Linked DNA regions of Arabidopsis thaliana. The protein of the gene in region 1 purifies or fractionates together with the protein of each later gene. This does not show direct contact. Each region holds a gene or a part of one and is shown on either strand. Other genes may lie near its edges.

Evidence for each region. Proteins that work in one complex are often made in the same cells at the same time.
Region 2: the proteins of AIM1 (region 1) and AT1G33600 fractionate together in Arabidopsis thaliana (co-fractionation; one large-scale study listed by BioGRID). This does not show direct contact.
Region 3: the proteins of AIM1 (region 1) and AT1G33590 fractionate together in Arabidopsis thaliana (co-fractionation; one large-scale study listed by BioGRID). This does not show direct contact.

What each region holds. Positions count from the first base shown.
Region 1 is NC_003075.7:14,296,481-14,304,266, forward strand, and holds AIM1 (Enoyl-CoA hydratase/isomerase family), read right to left. Parts: upstream 5,808-7,786; 5' UTR 5,537-5,807; coding exon 5,440-5,536; intron 5,325-5,439; coding exon 5,253-5,324; intron 5,106-5,252; coding exon 5,043-5,105; intron 4,959-5,042; coding exon 4,902-4,958; intron 4,752-4,901; coding exon 4,684-4,751; intron 4,585-4,683; coding exon 4,503-4,584; intron 4,389-4,502; coding exon 4,333-4,388; intron 4,225-4,332; coding exon 3,922-4,224; intron 3,725-3,921; coding exon 3,638-3,724; intron 3,546-3,637; coding exon 3,371-3,545; intron 3,041-3,370; coding exon 2,919-3,040; intron 2,763-2,918; coding exon 2,599-2,762; intron 2,514-2,598; coding exon 2,259-2,513; intron 2,126-2,258; coding exon 2,004-2,125; intron 1,940-2,003; coding exon 1,818-1,939; intron 1,727-1,817; coding exon 1,578-1,726; intron 1,341-1,577; coding exon 1,202-1,340; intron 865-1,201; coding exon 832-864; 3' UTR 564-831; downstream 1-563. Other genes in the region: AT4G29000 (Tesmin/TSO1-like CXC domain-containing protein), read left to right, coding at 1-122. UniProt on the Arabidopsis thaliana protein: Involved in peroxisomal fatty acid beta-oxidation. Required for wound-induced jasmonate biosynthesis.
Region 2 is NC_003070.9:12,178,980-12,185,028, reverse strand, and holds AT1G33600 (Leucine-rich repeat (LRR) family protein), read right to left. Parts: upstream 4,254-6,049; coding exon 2,817-4,253; 3' UTR 2,807-2,816; exon of another isoform or gene 2,429-2,806; intron 830-2,428; exon of another isoform or gene 822-829; 3' UTR 501-821; downstream 1-500. Other genes in the region: AT1G33590 (Leucine-rich repeat (LRR) family protein), read right to left, coding at 5,808-6,049.
Region 3 is NC_003070.9:12,176,010-12,180,128, reverse strand, and holds AT1G33590 (Leucine-rich repeat (LRR) family protein), read right to left. Parts: upstream 2,457-4,119; 5' UTR 2,453-2,456; coding exon 908-2,452; 3' UTR 501-907; downstream 1-500.

The DNA.
Region 1 (7,786 bases):
CTACACTCAACAAACCGCAGCCTATGCAGCTGATGAACACAACATCAGCAGCACCAGCAACAGCAACAAACACTCAACATCTTCAAAAACCTCCAGCTTTATCAGAGAAGAAAGACCCCTGAATCAGATAGATTATTATACTCTACTTAGGACAGAAAATAACTTACCAGAGAGAGCACGCTGAAATCTGCCTCACCACCGCCCTATATTATCAGGTAATCCCACCGTAATTTTTCTTTCTCAGTGGCGGTTGTTGCGGCTTCAACGCATTGGCAGGTGATTAGAGAGAGTAATAGACACAAGCTTTTATTGTGTCGTTAAGCTTTCTTCTCACTTTTCTCTTTCTTTTCTTATAAAGTCTCCTCTTTAAAGCCCCTTGTGGCTGGTGTAGATTTTGGTGAGCTTTGTTTCTTTACTACACGAATTTTTTGTTAGTTTTTTTTTTGTGTTCAGTATCACTTTTTATGTTGATGGTTTAGCTGTGGAACACCCTTGTTTACTGTGTCGGATTATGATCTGAGATGTTTCTCAATCAGCTTCTGTAGGATTTGAAAGTAATATATAATAAATCCTTAATTTGATTATAAAAAAAAAGATGTAAATTTCTTCATATTTTTCTCTCTGGCTAGAACAAATCATAACTTTATGAAACTGACGTCACTACAAACATTTATTAAGAGCAGAAAATTGTTTATTTTAAGAGTGTTAACAACAACCACACCTTAATAGCATTTTAACTTTGAACTTTGAAACAACAAGAGAGACTGATTTATTTTCATTTAGTGACTAACACCTTCAGCCTCTCCTTCTGCATATACTTAATTAAACGCTTCACAATTTGGACCTCGACGATTTCGATTCACTCTGCAGCCAAAACCAGAATTTTCATCATGAATAAATCGACTATACACTGACTAGTACTGCATTCATACGCTTGGAAACATTTCCATCATAGAGATCTAGTTATTATCATAAATTGTTTACTCAAAACTTCATTTTTACTAGCCAAACTACAAAACAATTCTACATAGTTCATGCCATACTTGAACCCAAAATCTAATGTTAGCAGGTCCCTTGCAGCAGATGAATCAACCTAAATTCTATTCTCATATCGTTTATCGATTTGTTAATAAGAGAACTTGGTTGGTACTGTGTTTTCTTGCCACATCATAAAATGTAAAAGAAAGTTGAGAAACTTTACCAAAAGCATTCCATTCATTGCTCTTTCCTCCAGATACCTCGATGGTTTGAAAAAGCTGCCATAAGTCTCCGACAATTTCTTGAGCCTCTCATATATGTACTTTGGTCCAACAGTGTCTGCCCAGAAAACAATTCCTCCCCTGCAACAGGTAAAAAAAATTGCTTAACATAAGAAATGATCATACACCAAAAATCTTAGTGACTAACAAAAGAAAGGAAAAAGTTTTGAGGATATTGTGAACGTTTGTAAATGACCAGAAGAAACTCAAAGATGTGAAAAAATCATATGCATAAGATTTGAGCAGAGGTAATGCATTTCCAGAATTTCACAAAATGCTCCCTTTTGCTTTATGGGGATTATGACTTAGAATCCTCACCGGTAAGAAGGAAAACTCATTCCAAGGACAGACGCAATGTCCAAGTCTGAGGCTCGGATCACAACTCCTTCATCTAGGACGCGGCATGCCTCGTTGACAACAGGGAATAAGATCATCTCTACAATTTCTTTATCAGTTACTGATATAGGCTGCAAAAGAAGAACAGACAATAGTGCATTTCATTTTTTTAAATACCAATAGTAGTACTGATATATTTCATAAGACCTCCTCTTTTTTTACCTTCCCACCAGGCATGATATTGGTCAGTTTCCTTGATTTCTCAACAATTGAAAGCACTGATGGATCAGGTTTTGGTTTGCTTCCCTTTTCGTATATATAGTATCCTCTTCCGTTGATTTTTCCTGAAGCCAGAAATGTTAAAAGTGGACACATTAGGAATTTCAAAAGGTAAGAGCAATGACATACCATTTCGCCCGCTCTTAAGAAGAAGCTCTGTCATTGGAGATCTGAACATGCGGTCACCATAGACCTTGGCATATATCGGCCCAACTGCTAATCCAATCCCGTGTCCAGCCAAATCACCAAGCCTGAGAAGTGAGTCATCGAAAAAAAAAAAATTCTTCAGTTGCTGAGATAGCCATAGAGCAACACTGAGAGTAACACATACACATACGGACACACATACACTGTAGGTAACAAAATATAGAGGGAGAGACTTACTGGAAAGGGCCCAATGGCAAGCCGAAAGAGGTAATAACGCTGTCAATTCTGAACAAGTCAACACCTAGATTGGCCAACATATGTGCAGCTTGTGAATAAGGAAAGAATGTCCTATTCACTGCAAAGCCTATGCAGTTTCCAACCACCACGGGAACTTTCTTTATGGCCTTTCCAACCGCCATGAGATCCAGAATCACCTGAGCAGAAGTATTCTTTGAACGAACAATCTCGAGAAGGGGCATCAGATGGGCCGGACTATAAAAAGACAAACCATTTGTATATTACACTAAAAATACGAAAAAAGCATAAAAATTTTGAGGCATTGGAAACGCAGAATGACCTGAAGAAATGTGCGCCAACAATGCGATCTTTTGAGTTAGTCTTTTCACCAATTACATCGAGGTCGATAGTAGATGTATTACTCGCCAAAATGCAGTGGGGTGAACAAACCTTTTCGATTTCTTTGAATATGTTTTGTTTCAATTGAATGTTTTCAATCACTGCCTGCAAAATGATACCAGGAGCAAGGCCTTACAGTAAGAAGACATAAATACGAGTTGTCCCTCTCTTCGAATTATCTAGATTTGTATATACTTGAAAGTTGAAACAAAAAAGAACGACATATAACACCAAAGTAGATAACTAAAATTGAAGGCAGACCTCTATGACCATGTCCACATCATTGAATTCTGTGTAATCAAGTACTCCCTTGAACAAAGAGAGGGCCTTTCCTGCTTTATCTTGTGTCAGTTTCCCCCTAGATACCAAGCTTTTCATATTTGCTGTCACAAGAAAAAAAACGAACTTTATTGCATCTACTCACTGTAACAGGAATAGTAATAATCATATATTTTATTATTCCATCATATTCAATGGATACTTCGTTTGGCTTCAAACAACTCACTGAAGTGTTTGTACACTTTTCTAATTTCTTAGGGCTGCAAACTACTATATAACACTTCATCTAAGAGAACCTTTTTATTATGCAACCAATTTTTATGAAGAACGATTTTGGGCTGACAACGTAGATAACAGTTCAAATTTTTGGTATTTGACCAAGATAGATACTTCTATAAAATAGCAACTGGATATGTTATGGATAAGATAATAACCTTCAACTGATTTTATTCCCTTCATAAGGAATTCTGAGTTTATTTCTTTGAGCACAACTCTTATATTGCTTAGAAGTAGAGCCGTAGCGATGCCTGAACCCATCAGACCGCCACCAATAACTGCAACTTTTTTTATCGGCCTTGGTTTCAATCCAACGTCAGTTACATTAGGCACCTGAAAAGTGTTTTAAGAGATGCTCAGGATGAACACTGAAAGTGAAAACTAGAAGTGCTAGAAGAAACAAACACAACATATGCCAATCTCACTTTTGATGTTGCACGTTGTGCAAAGAAAACATGAACAAGACCCTTTGCAGTGTCTGACAGTACTAGTTGCTTGAAAACTTCTGCTTCCTGCGAATCAAAGAGTTTAGGTACATAGCCAACTAGACAATTACCGCAAGTAATCAATGCAAGGAATGGACAGATTTTGTGAAATGAAGCACTCATGATTCCCTAATTTAAAAAGTCGAATGAGCACCAACGAGCAGTAAATGATCTATGTCAAAGCTATTGAAGAAATACGGTAAACGTCGAAATCCTAAAGATACCTTGAGAACCCCACTGTATCCTCCATGGATGATTCCTTCTTCAATCACCTCAATGCAAGCATGGTGCTGAGGCATATTTGGGGCAATCTTCTTGGCTAGCTGTCTTGAATTCTTCAATATAGCACGAGCTTCAGATAAAGAACCAATTTTGTCGGTTCTGTGCAGTGACTGCAGAAAGGGTTTACGTCCCTCTGCAATGTCTAGAGCCCACTTTCTGGATGTGCTCAACACATCTCCAGGTGGCACCAAGGCATCAATGAGACCCAGTTTGTGCCCCTCTTCTGAGGATATTGACTTAGAAAGCTACCGAAATACCAGCATATAGTTTAATACAATTTTCAGCGAAGCAAATCATATTGACGCAAACTTGGTAATAAAACTGTTGGTAACTGCAGAAAATGTCATCCTTACCAGTATCATATCCGTTGCTTTTGCAAGGCCTACTAACCTTGGAAGACGTTGGGTTCCTTCATAGACACAATTAGCTCAATTATATACATATCTATTAATAAAGAAAACCTAGCCAAAAAAAGTATCGCCTTCATTTAAAAGAAGACGTAGCTGAAAAAACAAACCCATACCTCCAAAACCAGGAATCACTCCAAGAGTCAGTTCTGGTAAGCCTAATTGAGCTTTCGGAGCAGCAACTCTGGCATGACACGCCTAAAGAATTTCGAGTTACAGAAAAATCAACACAAAAAGTTAAGAATATCAAAACACACTTTAAAACGCACAAAAGGGAAAGAAACTCAAAACTCCCACCATTGCAAGTTCCAAACCACCACCAAGAGCTAATCCTTCAACTGCAGCAACAACCGGCTTCCTGGAGTCTGTGATAACCGAATAACAACACCAACATCAGCATCACATCATTTGATAGTTGCAGTGCAACTTACATGTGATAGTTGCAGTCCAACTTATTGAGAAATACATCAACCCTGAAAGAACAAAAAATCTGAAACTAAAAAGAAGCTAAATACCTTCCATCAGGTTACACACAAGCTCAACAGATACTTCAGGCATAAGCGATAAATCCCCTGCCAAGAAACAAGAGTCTCAAAACCCATAACACCAATTTGATTCACTATATAAATAAGTACTAACAACAGAAGAAACTTTACCAGTCTTATGAACTTGCTGAAAGACATTGATATCAAAACCACCCGAAAATCTTCCATTGTTCCCTGAAGTGATAAACAAATTCAAGCTCCTTAAGCAACAACAACGATAAGAAAAAGGATTAAACTTTCAAACCCCTTCAATACATTAATTTACAATTTCACAATCGCTAGCTACAAGATCGAATACAATCCTTCAAAACAAAAGTTTACCGATCAACACGATGGCCTTAACATCATTCCTTTGATTGGCGTCACGAAACTTCTCCTTCAACCCAGAAATAACTGAGAATTCACACAACCAAACAAGATCAAATCAGCTTAAACCAAACCAATTCCAGATAAAAAAATCGTGCATGATCTAATCAATCACAGAGAAACATTTAAGCTTTTTTAATACTTGGACTGGCTAAAGAGTTAACAGGAGGGTTAGAAATGGTGATGACAGCAACACCATCGTTCCCAACTTCCATCGTTACTCCAATCTTCTTCGCCATAGCTTAATTTCTCTCTGATGAGATTGAAAAATGAAAGCTTTATTATTCGGTGAGTGACAAAATTGGATAAAGATCTGGTTTTGTGATAAAAATGGGGCCTTTGATAAATCAGGAGTTTACATTTGTAACGTGATCGATATTTCTTTCCTAACTTGTTGTTTCGTCATTTTCGTCATAAGCAACCAAATCTTCTGGTCAACAAGGCCGCATTCATATTTGTTTGGGGCCTGTCCAGCTAGTTAATATTCAACTATATGAATCCCGATTGATAAACATAGAGCGGTAACAAAATAATTTAGAAGATAACATCACAAGTTGAGAGTTCCTTTTTAGATATTGGTTTAGTAGTTACCAAATTCAAAATCGTTAACTCTCAACTTATACCGGTTCAGTTTAAACTTCGAACCCACAAATATTGGGCTTCTTAATACATTTTTGTGATTTGCAGGCCAATAGTGGACTACAACGACAAGTATATTGAGCCATGTACGGGCCCATCTTCTTAATTCAATTATTACAACAACAACAAAAAATAAATAAAAAAACTCACTTTATTAAAGTAAAAGATAAATCACAAAATACGACAAAAAAAATAAAAAAAAAATCACAAAATATTATAATGATTTATAATTTTTCTTTAAAAAAATAAGTTTGTGCTATAAAATAATAATTAAACATTATATTGACAAGTAAGTGTTAAGAAAAAAAAAACATTATATTGACAAGTAATTAAAATAAAATATTCGCAGCCAATAAGAACCAAACCTAACATTATAGTTAATGGAGTAATTTTTATTCAGACGATTAAGATCGTATACAATAGTTAATGTACCCTTACTTTCAGCAAATCTAAGCCCGAACAAAACCAAGGATGTGAACAAATATATCTATAAGCGTTTGTGGTTTTCTCCGAATAATGCTATATAATGTACCATGACAAATATAATTATATGAAAATGTCCACTAACATTTGTTGGTTTGAAAATTTATAGTTTTGTATATTCAGTACTTAGTATATATAAGATCCACAATCTTTTGTTTTCTGTTAAACGATTTCAGCCTAATGATTTGACAAATGACTAAAATAGTTTCAAATAATTTGAATCGATAGCAAATTATTGTAGATTAAATTCGGTTTTAGTCCGATACCATTTGCTGCCAACACATCAAAGACTAAACTATCAAGATCAAATGATCAACCATTAAGTATGCTATTCTCTTAGCTGTACCACAGTAGAAATGTAAAGTCATTTTAAATTGAAGCTTCATACTTATAACTTACGAGTATTAATCACAAGAGAAGAGAGAGAGACTATATAGTCTATAGTATATGATTTTTTTTTTTACACAGTCTATAGTATATTAATATGTTTTGATATGAAGACAAAACAGCATTGAAGAGGTGAAATAACTGAACTACAAGAAAGGCCCAACGAACAACTTATTTTCACTGGCTTCAGCTGTCATTCTTAATATCTCAGAGAGATACATAATGCCTTGGATAGAATAATATTGCTTCTGTTCGAAATCTCGTGATCATTTAATTTTCAGTGACAATTTATTTTCCAGGTTTTAGGGTGTTTATAGTTCAGTATCGTCAATAAATGACTAAAAACTCTAATCTTTGAACTAGCTAGTACCATTTAAAGTTGCAATGTTTAATATGAATTCGCGATTTGTAAAAATTATATGGGTCTTAGTTGTTTCTTATTTTGCTTAGAAGTTAAAACTGTGTATTTCAAAACCGACACTATATATAAACTCTAAACAAGATTGTAATTGTTTGATCTCTTATGTATCAAAGAACAAATTTGACATAGATCAATTTTTACTTAATACATCTACTCGACTATTGTATAACTCAAATAAAAATATCATTACTCTTGCCTCCTACCCAAAACACATCTGATTTGTCATCCTCACCTTCTTCCTGAGTAAACAATTTCCTTAAGAAACGCAACTAATCACCAATTAACTTACGAGCTTCGAGTTTTGTATTAATATTACTTATTACATCATCATTTCTCGAGAAATACTGTTTACTTTATGGATTTGAAAGATTTTTTTAATCTTCCATATTAATCTTTTTGTCTCCCAACCTGTCAATTTAATGCATTTACATGTTCTACTAACTTTGGCCTTTGGGCGCAGCCACATGCTCTGCATGCTCTCATTTATTGCACTTGTAGTGTATACATATATGTACATTAATAAGGTGCTATTTATACTTAACATTTTCGGTTTATTTCT
Region 2 (6,049 bases), on another chromosome or scaffold:
TTCCAAGTATATTTTGGTATTTTGTATATGTTTGGTTATTCGATCTAAAAATAACTAATATTTTGGATATATAATTGGATATTTTTGAGTATCCAAAATATTTTGGTTTGGTTCGGGTTTGATTATAATCTTTTTCGGTTCTAGAATTTTGGACCTATTTGAATATTTTACAATTGGTCTGAGTTCAGTTTGGTTCTTTTTTCTTCGGTTCCAGTTCAATTCTTTCGGTTCACTTATTATGTCCAGACTTAATCCAGACGATGGACTGACTTGACTAATTATATCCGATAAAATCAGACGGGATTTTTGGATCGAGGGACCGGTTCAAGAAATTCTGGTCACGCGGGATCAGAAAATCCAGGTAAGTAAATTTAATTCTTATACTCATTAATTTGACTAACTGTTATGTGTATTTTGTAAAGTTTGGGTATTTAAAAAAAAGTAGAAAATTTGGATAATTTCTGTTAATTTTGTAAAAGTTAAATACATAAACGGAAATACGAGTATCTTTTCCGAAGTCCTCGCCGTTCACTTTAGTAGTAACATTTCGCGTATATGGAAAACAATGTCGGAGGGTTGAAATACTACTTTCACTAATACAATAATACGTATTGATTATCGTTGTTACATGTAGTGGAGCTTCTTGATGTCTTAAGTTAATGGTGTGTTTTTGTTGATTGAGAGAAGCATTCGTGGTAGCTATTAATAGAAGGAAAGTCATCGACTCTAGCGCTGACGATTTTGACCAAGTCATATGCATGTGGTGGCATTACGTGGTGGTATAATCCGTGATCGTTGTTGAGTTTAGCATCTCTGGATCCCTTGAAAGAGACAGTGTCTTTCATCAGATTATTATATAAATGGTTTAACATATCTTCTTTTTCTAGAATTTTGTTGTTACATTGTATTAAAACTCATAAGTCATATAGTTTTTTTCCACTGTCTTATTAGTATTTCTTTCTATCAAATTTAAATAAAATTTTATTTTTATTATGGAATTTAGTTAGGAAAAATAACCATTTTGATTTTTCTCTAACATCTATATATACATTTTTGCAGCCATTTTGTGAAATAAATCCTGGAGTTCGAACTTATTTACAATACCTGCCATTGCCTTTTAATTATTGGTTTTCTTTTGGCAATAAATTGATTAACAAACAAAAAATATTCCAAATATATTATAATCCCATATATCACGCAAATTTCTCCAAAATTTAAACTAGATTTCGGAAACTATTTAAAACAAAAAATATTTGACAAACCAAAATACAATTGCAATCCCTTAAAATGAGCAAAACGCACCTAAATACATTTCCTATCAGTTCACTAAATCTTATTTCTCCAATATTTGAACTAGATTTCGACAACCATTTAAAAAAAAAATTTGTTTGACAAACTAAAATATAATTGCAATCCCGTAAAATATTTATTTAAATTAGCGGTGTATCGCAGATTTTTTTAACGGGACGGGTTTGGTGGAACGAGTTTGGAAGGATATTACTTAATAACAATTGTAAACTATAAAATGTAAATATTTTATAGATAAATATAATTTGCAGACTCTTATATATACTAATTTTAAAAACAAATTGTCTCCGCGGTGTACCGCGGGTTATAATCTAGTTATGTACGTTATTTTCGTCTTACTTTTTTCAACACGTTATTTTAATCTGTCCAACAAAATGTTCGTTATTGACCTTAAATTAGAAGTGAAAGATTTGACTGTTTAGATTTAGAACGATCTAAGTGCAATGATCTAGACAGTGAAAATAAGTTGGCCTCAAGATGGTCAGGTAAACATTATGCTTTATTTTCTTAGCATAATCTAACATTAGTAGCTTTATCTATTTGCCTATTGTAAGAACTAAGAAAGTGAAAATTTAGATTGTTCTCGAAAATCGATTTGTTCAGTTTTCAGTTTATGGTAGTGACATTTAAGATGCATGCTACCTCTCTTATGAATGCCGTAGCGTTCATCGAGATCCATTTGTTTTTATAGCTTTGAATAATAAGGCAAATCTCAGTGTGTCTACAGTTTTAATATTTCATATTATTACACAAATAACTCTAGTTTTCTTGTCTACAAAGTCACCAGTTTCATGATTCTAATGGAACATTTATTCCCAAGATCTTCATTACTTCTTGGATGTAGGGTAGGTACCGAGAGTGAATGTATCAAACTATTGGTTTATATGTGATATTATTTTGTCTGTCTAGATTTTAGATATTTAGCTCACCAATGATTAGACTGCCCACAAAGTAATCAAATTAATGTTGGAAATTGAGAATAACCGATCAATAATTTGTTAAAACATCAACATGATTTATATTTACATGGCTATGTACTGTATTATCAAATTTCTTAAATATTATAAGGTTTTTTTTAAACAAAAAAATCACAAATTATGGTAAGTGGTCATAATATTATTTTTTCTAAACATGTTTTACTTTTTCTTTTAACTGACAAAAGTTCATTATTCTGTAACTTCTGTTAATGTTCTGTTAGTTAGTGTTCTGTTCTGTTATCTTTTAGGGCTGTACAAACAAAAAATGTTAATTTGGAGATCTAGAGTGTTAGTTTAATTAATTTGGAGGTTTATAATGCTAGTGAAAATATCTTGAGGTTTAAAGTGCTGCTCAGTGTTAGGTTTAAAATGTGATTTTCCCCTTAAATATTTTGTTATTTTCTATTCCAGTAAAAAAAATAAAAATCATGTCCATGTATGGCGTAGCCGAGTAGGCTAATTTTGTTATTACAAATCTTATTCAGAGCTATGTGTTACAGTACTCAACTACAAAATTGTACCTTTTTGCCGCTAAATTTTACAAGGAGAAAGCGGAGAGCCGCAGAGACAGTCATTACCGACAAACGCGCTGGCCGGGAATTTAGTCACTGGAAGCTTTCCACAAAGATGGTTATGACTCAAGTTCAATTTTTGCAGTTTAGCCACGGTCATTGGTACCTTCCCAAATATCAAATTCCTTGATAGATCGAGGCTTTCTAGTCTCTCACTTAAATTCAGCTTCCCCATGTCGAATCGAAGTTTGTTCCCTGACGCTTGAAACTCATATAGGTTATGCGCTAGGTTGAAGAACCATGTTAGACTCCCTGAGATCTCGTTTTCTGACAGATCGATGTAAAAGTAAATATTGGGTCTCACTGGCTTCCAATTGTCTAAGCTCATATTGATCCCGCATTTTACCAGCTTCAACGAGTACATGGACGGCGACGAGGTCACCCATTTCGGTATCGTTTTGAGGTGAAATTGGTTGTATGAAAGATCTAGAGTGGCAAGGCCATCAACGTTCTTCATGGCAGGGAGTGGACCAGTTAGAAAATTGTGGGAGAGATTGAGATGGAAAAGTTTAGGCATATTGGCTAAACTCTTCGGAACAACCCCAGAGAACCTATTTCTAGAAAGATCCAATGAGTCTAGTACCTTGAAGTTTGATAAAAAGGTCGGGATTGTCCCAGAGAGATTATTCTGGCTTAGATCGAGGTAATTGAGAATTGGTTTGAGTGATGCAATGGACGGAGGAAGATTTCCAGAGAATTTGTTGCGGGAGAGGGTTAGAGATTGGAGCTTCTGCATGGATTTGAAAATATCCGGTATGGTTTCAGAGAGACGATTGTTGCCAAAGTTGAGTGACAACAAGATCTTGAGATTAGCAAGACCTAAAGGTATAGTTCCGGTTAAGAGATTATCTCCAAGATTGAGCAGATATAACCGGGTTAAATTGGAAATGGAACTCGGGATCGGACCAGTAAACAGGTTTCCGTCGAGACTTAGTTCTCCTAACTCGCTTAGCGCACCAATGTTAGCTGGAAGAGGACCGGAGAGACGGCTATTCGTGAAGTAGACTTGTTTTACATTTGGTAATTGGAAAAGGAATTGAGGAAAAGAACCAGTGATGTTTCGAAGATTGGTGAAGTAAATACCAACAAGGTGTTGGAGTTTGGCCAATGACGGCGAGATAGTGCCAGAAAGAAAGCTTCCAGTAACATCAGATTGTCCGTTGATAGTGAGTCCGGTGACGCGGTTGGTGAGACAACCGACACCCTTCCATGAACAGCAGTCAGTACCTTTCTTCCAAGAGCTGAGAATACCCGTAGGATCTTGAGTTATACCCGATTTAAAAGCTAAAAGACCCGCCTCGTCATCAGGATGACACGTGGCAGCTTCAATGGGACTTAAACACCGGAGAAAGATAACGAATGCAAAGATGAAGAGAGGGAAGCAACAAGAGTTCATGGTTGAGTTGTGTTGATTGAAAGACACAATTGGTCGCTATTAATAGAAGGAAAACGTTGAATCAAGAGCTGCCGATTTTGACCAATTCATGTTCATGTGGTGGCAATAAGTTGTGGTAATATCCGTAATCGTTGTCGAATTTATTATCTCTCAACCCCTCGAAAGAGACAGTTTCTTTCATCAGATTTTTATAATATTTTGATGATTATAGATAAAGGATTTATGTATCTTATTTTTCTAGAACTTTGTTGTCAAATTACAATTGTTTTCTATCATGTTTAAATAATATTTTGGGCTATTATGAAACTTAGTTTGGAAAGAAATTTCATTTATGTTTTCTCAAAATGTACGTTATTTTTGAAAAAAAAAAAATATTTATTAACATGTTATTTTTGTCTAACAATATGTACATTATTGACCACAAAATAAAAGTCAAATATATCTAAGTACAATGATCCAGATTGTGGACTAAGTTGGCCTCGAGATGGGCCGATAGATTCATGCCTTAATTTTCTTAGCGTAATCCAACATTAACATAAGTAGCTTTATCTATTTGTTTATCGTAAGAAATTATAGTGGAATCTTAGCTTGTTTTGGAAGAACCAATTACTCAATTTTCGTTTATGGTGGTGAAGTTTTAAGATGCTGCATGCATTAGTCTTGTTTTGGAAGAACCAATTACTCAAACTATCTTTTTTTGTATAGTTTTTGAATAATTTTTCTAGGTTGGTTTACTATGTCTTTGTCTCATTGAATATGGATGCATTAGTCTAATCGAACTTTAGTGTTTTAGACAAAAAAAAAAACAATACTAAGTTGAAACCTACTTCAGAGATGGTCTAATTCCTCAATGCAGACGCTATATGTCCTGTGGATGACCTTGTGTTATGTGTATGTAAAGAGAAAAAAGAGGTTTGATACTAGTATATATCGATTACTTGGTTTGTTGTTTGGTATGTGTTATTTGTGATCAAATAAATTTTGTAGTGATGAAGTTATATGCATCTATCTAGTAAGGACTCCTCTTGTTTTCATCACTAGGTTTTTGTTAACCAATTATAGAACACTGAAGAATAATAAATTACGCATAGTTCTAAATAAGATATCACTATAACTTTCTTTCTTTTTTTGTATAGAGCGAGTTAAATTCCAGTAAACATAGATTATTTACTGCATCATTTGTTGCGACTATTCTGAATTGAGAACAGATTAGCCAAGAGTTGCATACTACATAATCAGTTTAATATATAAGCAAAAGTTACATAAATTGGAGCATGTTGTATCAGAATACTACTCTGTTTTTCCTTCTATTTTTTAAAATCATTTTTCTATCATGTTAAAGTAATATTTTAGCTGCTATATAAAAAATGCATAATAGTTGAGAACTTAAATACTACTTTGAGTACTTTCACTAATACATATTGTTAGAATGAAGCTTCTTCATAACATAAAACTACTTTATTTGTTGTAATCTTTTTAATACAAATTTTATTTGGAGCTAAACTTTATTGGTCACGGTAAATATCCAACTACCAGTTGTAGCTTTCTTGCCGCTTAAGCTTTACAAGGAGAAAGAGGAGAGCCGCAAAGACAGTCATTACCCACAAACGCACTGGCCGGGAACTTTGTTACTGGAAGCTTTCCACAAAGATGGTTGTGACTCACGTTCAATGTCTTTAGTCCAGCCACCATTGCCGGCACCTTCCCAAATACCAAGTTCCTTGATATATCTAAAGTTGTCAGCGTCTTTGCAAACGTTAGCTTCCCCATATCGAATCGTAGTTTGTTACCCGCTG
Region 3 (4,119 bases), on another chromosome or scaffold:
GCATGCATTAGTCTTGTTTTGGAAGAACCAATTACTCAAACTATCTTTTTTTGTATAGTTTTTGAATAATTTTTCTAGGTTGGTTTACTATGTCTTTGTCTCATTGAATATGGATGCATTAGTCTAATCGAACTTTAGTGTTTTAGACAAAAAAAAAAACAATACTAAGTTGAAACCTACTTCAGAGATGGTCTAATTCCTCAATGCAGACGCTATATGTCCTGTGGATGACCTTGTGTTATGTGTATGTAAAGAGAAAAAAGAGGTTTGATACTAGTATATATCGATTACTTGGTTTGTTGTTTGGTATGTGTTATTTGTGATCAAATAAATTTTGTAGTGATGAAGTTATATGCATCTATCTAGTAAGGACTCCTCTTGTTTTCATCACTAGGTTTTTGTTAACCAATTATAGAACACTGAAGAATAATAAATTACGCATAGTTCTAAATAAGATATCACTATAACTTTCTTTCTTTTTTTGTATAGAGCGAGTTAAATTCCAGTAAACATAGATTATTTACTGCATCATTTGTTGCGACTATTCTGAATTGAGAACAGATTAGCCAAGAGTTGCATACTACATAATCAGTTTAATATATAAGCAAAAGTTACATAAATTGGAGCATGTTGTATCAGAATACTACTCTGTTTTTCCTTCTATTTTTTAAAATCATTTTTCTATCATGTTAAAGTAATATTTTAGCTGCTATATAAAAAATGCATAATAGTTGAGAACTTAAATACTACTTTGAGTACTTTCACTAATACATATTGTTAGAATGAAGCTTCTTCATAACATAAAACTACTTTATTTGTTGTAATCTTTTTAATACAAATTTTATTTGGAGCTAAACTTTATTGGTCACGGTAAATATCCAACTACCAGTTGTAGCTTTCTTGCCGCTTAAGCTTTACAAGGAGAAAGAGGAGAGCCGCAAAGACAGTCATTACCCACAAACGCACTGGCCGGGAACTTTGTTACTGGAAGCTTTCCACAAAGATGGTTGTGACTCACGTTCAATGTCTTTAGTCCAGCCACCATTGCCGGCACCTTCCCAAATACCAAGTTCCTTGATATATCTAAAGTTGTCAGCGTCTTTGCAAACGTTAGCTTCCCCATATCGAATCGTAGTTTGTTACCCGCTGCCTTGAACTCCACTAGATACTCTGTTTGGTTCAAGAACCTTGCTGGACTCCCTGTGATCTCGTTTTCCGACAGATCGATGAAATCATAGTAGAATGTTTGCGCTGGCTTCCAATCGTCTAAGCTCATCTTGATCCCGCATTTTGCTAGCTTCAACGAGAAGATGATCGGCGACGAAGTCACCCATTTCGGGATCGTATTCAAGTGAAACTGGTTGTAAGAAAGATCCAAAGATTCAATGCCTTTAACGTTCAAGACAGGGAATGGATCGGTTAGAAGATTATGGGAGAGATCAAGATTGAATATCTTGGTCAGATTGGCGAAACTCTTCGGTATGACACCCGAGAACCGATTCTTGGAGAGATCCAATGTGTCGAGCGCCTTGAAGTTTGATAAAAAGTTTGGAATCGTCCCGGAGAGTTTGTTATGGCCTAACTCGAGGAACCTAAGAATCGGTGCGAGTGATGCAATGGACGGAGGAAGATTCCCGGAGAATCCGTTGCGGGAGAGAGTTAAAGATCGGAGCTCTGGCATGGATTTGAAAATATCTGGAATGGTTCCAGTGAGACGGTTACCTCCAAGGTTGAGATACGACATGAGCTTGAGATTAGCGACCCCTAACGGTATAGTTCCGGTTAGGAGATTATTGCCGAGTTTGAGTTGAGTTAACAGAGTCAAATTAGATATCGAGCTCGGGATCGGACCGGTGAACCGGTTTCCCTCGAGGCTGAACGCTTCAAGCTGGCTTAGCGCACCGATGTTAGCCGGAAGAGTACCAGAGAGACGGTTATTCTCAATGTATACGTACTTAAGATTTGGTAATTGGAAAAGGAATTGAGGAAAAGAACCAGTGATGTTCTTGAGATCGGTGAAGTAAATCCCATCAAGGTGCTTGAGTTTAGCCAACGACGGCGAGAGAGTGCCGGAGAGGAAGCTTCCAGCAACATCGGCTTGTCCAGCGACAGAGAGTGCAGAGACACGGTCAGTGGTGAGACAAGTGACACCGTTCCAAGAACAACAAGCGGTACCTTTCTTCCAAGAACTGAGAATACCCGAAGGATCTCGGGTTATACCCGCTTTGAAAGCTAGAAGACCCGCTTCATCATCAGGATGACACGTGGCAGCTCCGGTGGGATTTAGACATTGGAGGAAGATGACGAAGGTAAAGATGAAGAGAGTAAAGGAAGAGTTCATGGTGGTGAATTGTGTTGTGTTGATTGAGAGAAGAGAGCTATTAGTAGTGGGGAAAAGATTACTTGAGAGCTGCGAAGTCAAAGTTGACGTTTTTGACCAATCCATTTGCATCTGCATGTGACCATAATTATTAGTGGTATCCGTAATCGTGGTCGAATTTATCATTTTTCCCCGACACACTTGAAAAAGACAGTTTCATTAGATTTTTATTATAGTTTGTCTTTTCTTGACTATTATATATGCATAGGTCTTCTCTTGACAATTAACACGTCTTAATGTTTTGCTAAAAACAAAATTCTACTTTTTTCAGACTTCTTATAATATATTTTCGTTTTTTTTGGTTATATTTTGAAACTCCAGTAAGTCATAGTATTTTTATTTTTCACAACATTTCCGACAAAAGAAACTGTCATAGACTCAAGAGCCAAACGATTCTAACAGCAAGAACAGAGTAATTGATGTTCCAATACATGACTGGGCTGGACTTCCGCCAACTGTTTTTGGCGATGCAATAACACTTCCAGGAAACAATCAGTTTATACAAGACCTCCTTATTAATATTAAAATTACTAGAAGAATATTGAGCATTTATAATATTATATTGTAGCAGTTAATCGTGTTCTGCTATAATTTACTAACCAGCTAAAACGTTATAACGTTTGGTTTTCAAAACGTTATACTATCTTACCCCGGGAAATAAAATGACTCGGGTCAATATTTTTAGATTAGGGGTTATTATTCGATAGCACTAATTTACAAAAACCGCTACCTAATATAGTAGCGCGGAATGAAATTTTTTTGCTCGTTGGAGAATAAAATATTTGGTGACTTTTAACCCCGAAATTTTTTTCTAAGGCCAAAAAACATTGTTCGTGTTCTCACTGTTTTTCATCTCACTGTTCTTCATCTCTTTCAATTCTCTTTTTCAATTCTCTCTGTTTGTGTTCGTGTTCTTCAGCTGTCTGTCTCTCTCCCGTCTCTGTTCGTGTTCTTGCTCAACGCCTCAATCTCTTTTGGTACTCTTCAGCTTCTCAGTCACAGATCTGGTTCTAAATCGAGAAGGTTATGTTTCTTTTGTAATCGATTTAGGGTTTGCATTGTGAAATTGTCTGGTTTGAGTTTCGATTTGGGGTTTTAATCACATTTAGGGTTTGATTTTCAGGTTTCTCAGATTTAGGGGTTTCGATTTGGGGCTTTCGCTATCCGCGTTTCTCAAAGATTTCAGTGGCTTCTCTTTGACAAGTATGTTATTTAGATCGATTTCTGTGGTTCTTAGATCGATTTTGAGTTTCATATAGCTTTGAACTTGACTATTCTCATGTGTCGAATTGAGTTTCATATAGCTTTGATAGTGAGCATTCATTTGTATCGAATTGAGTTTCAAATAGCTTTGATAGCTTGTATTCACTTGTATTGATTAGAACTTGACTATTTTCAGTGACTATTGACTTGTATCGATTAGAAGTTGACTATTTCTGTGACTTTTCACTTGTATCCAATGGAACTTGACTATTTATGTGATTCACTTGTATCGAATTGAGTTAATTTCTGTGGTTCTTAGTATACGTGTAGCTTTGAGTTTATGTGGTTCTTGTATTCAATATAGCTTTGATAGTATTGAATTTTTGTTTTTGAAATTTCTCTTTGTGTCTTTGTTCTTGTATCTCTGTTAACTAATATATATATATATATATATATATATATATATATATAAATATTATCATATATATGGGGTTGGAGCTTGTTGGTGTTTCAAAAATGGATAAGAGTTGGGTATG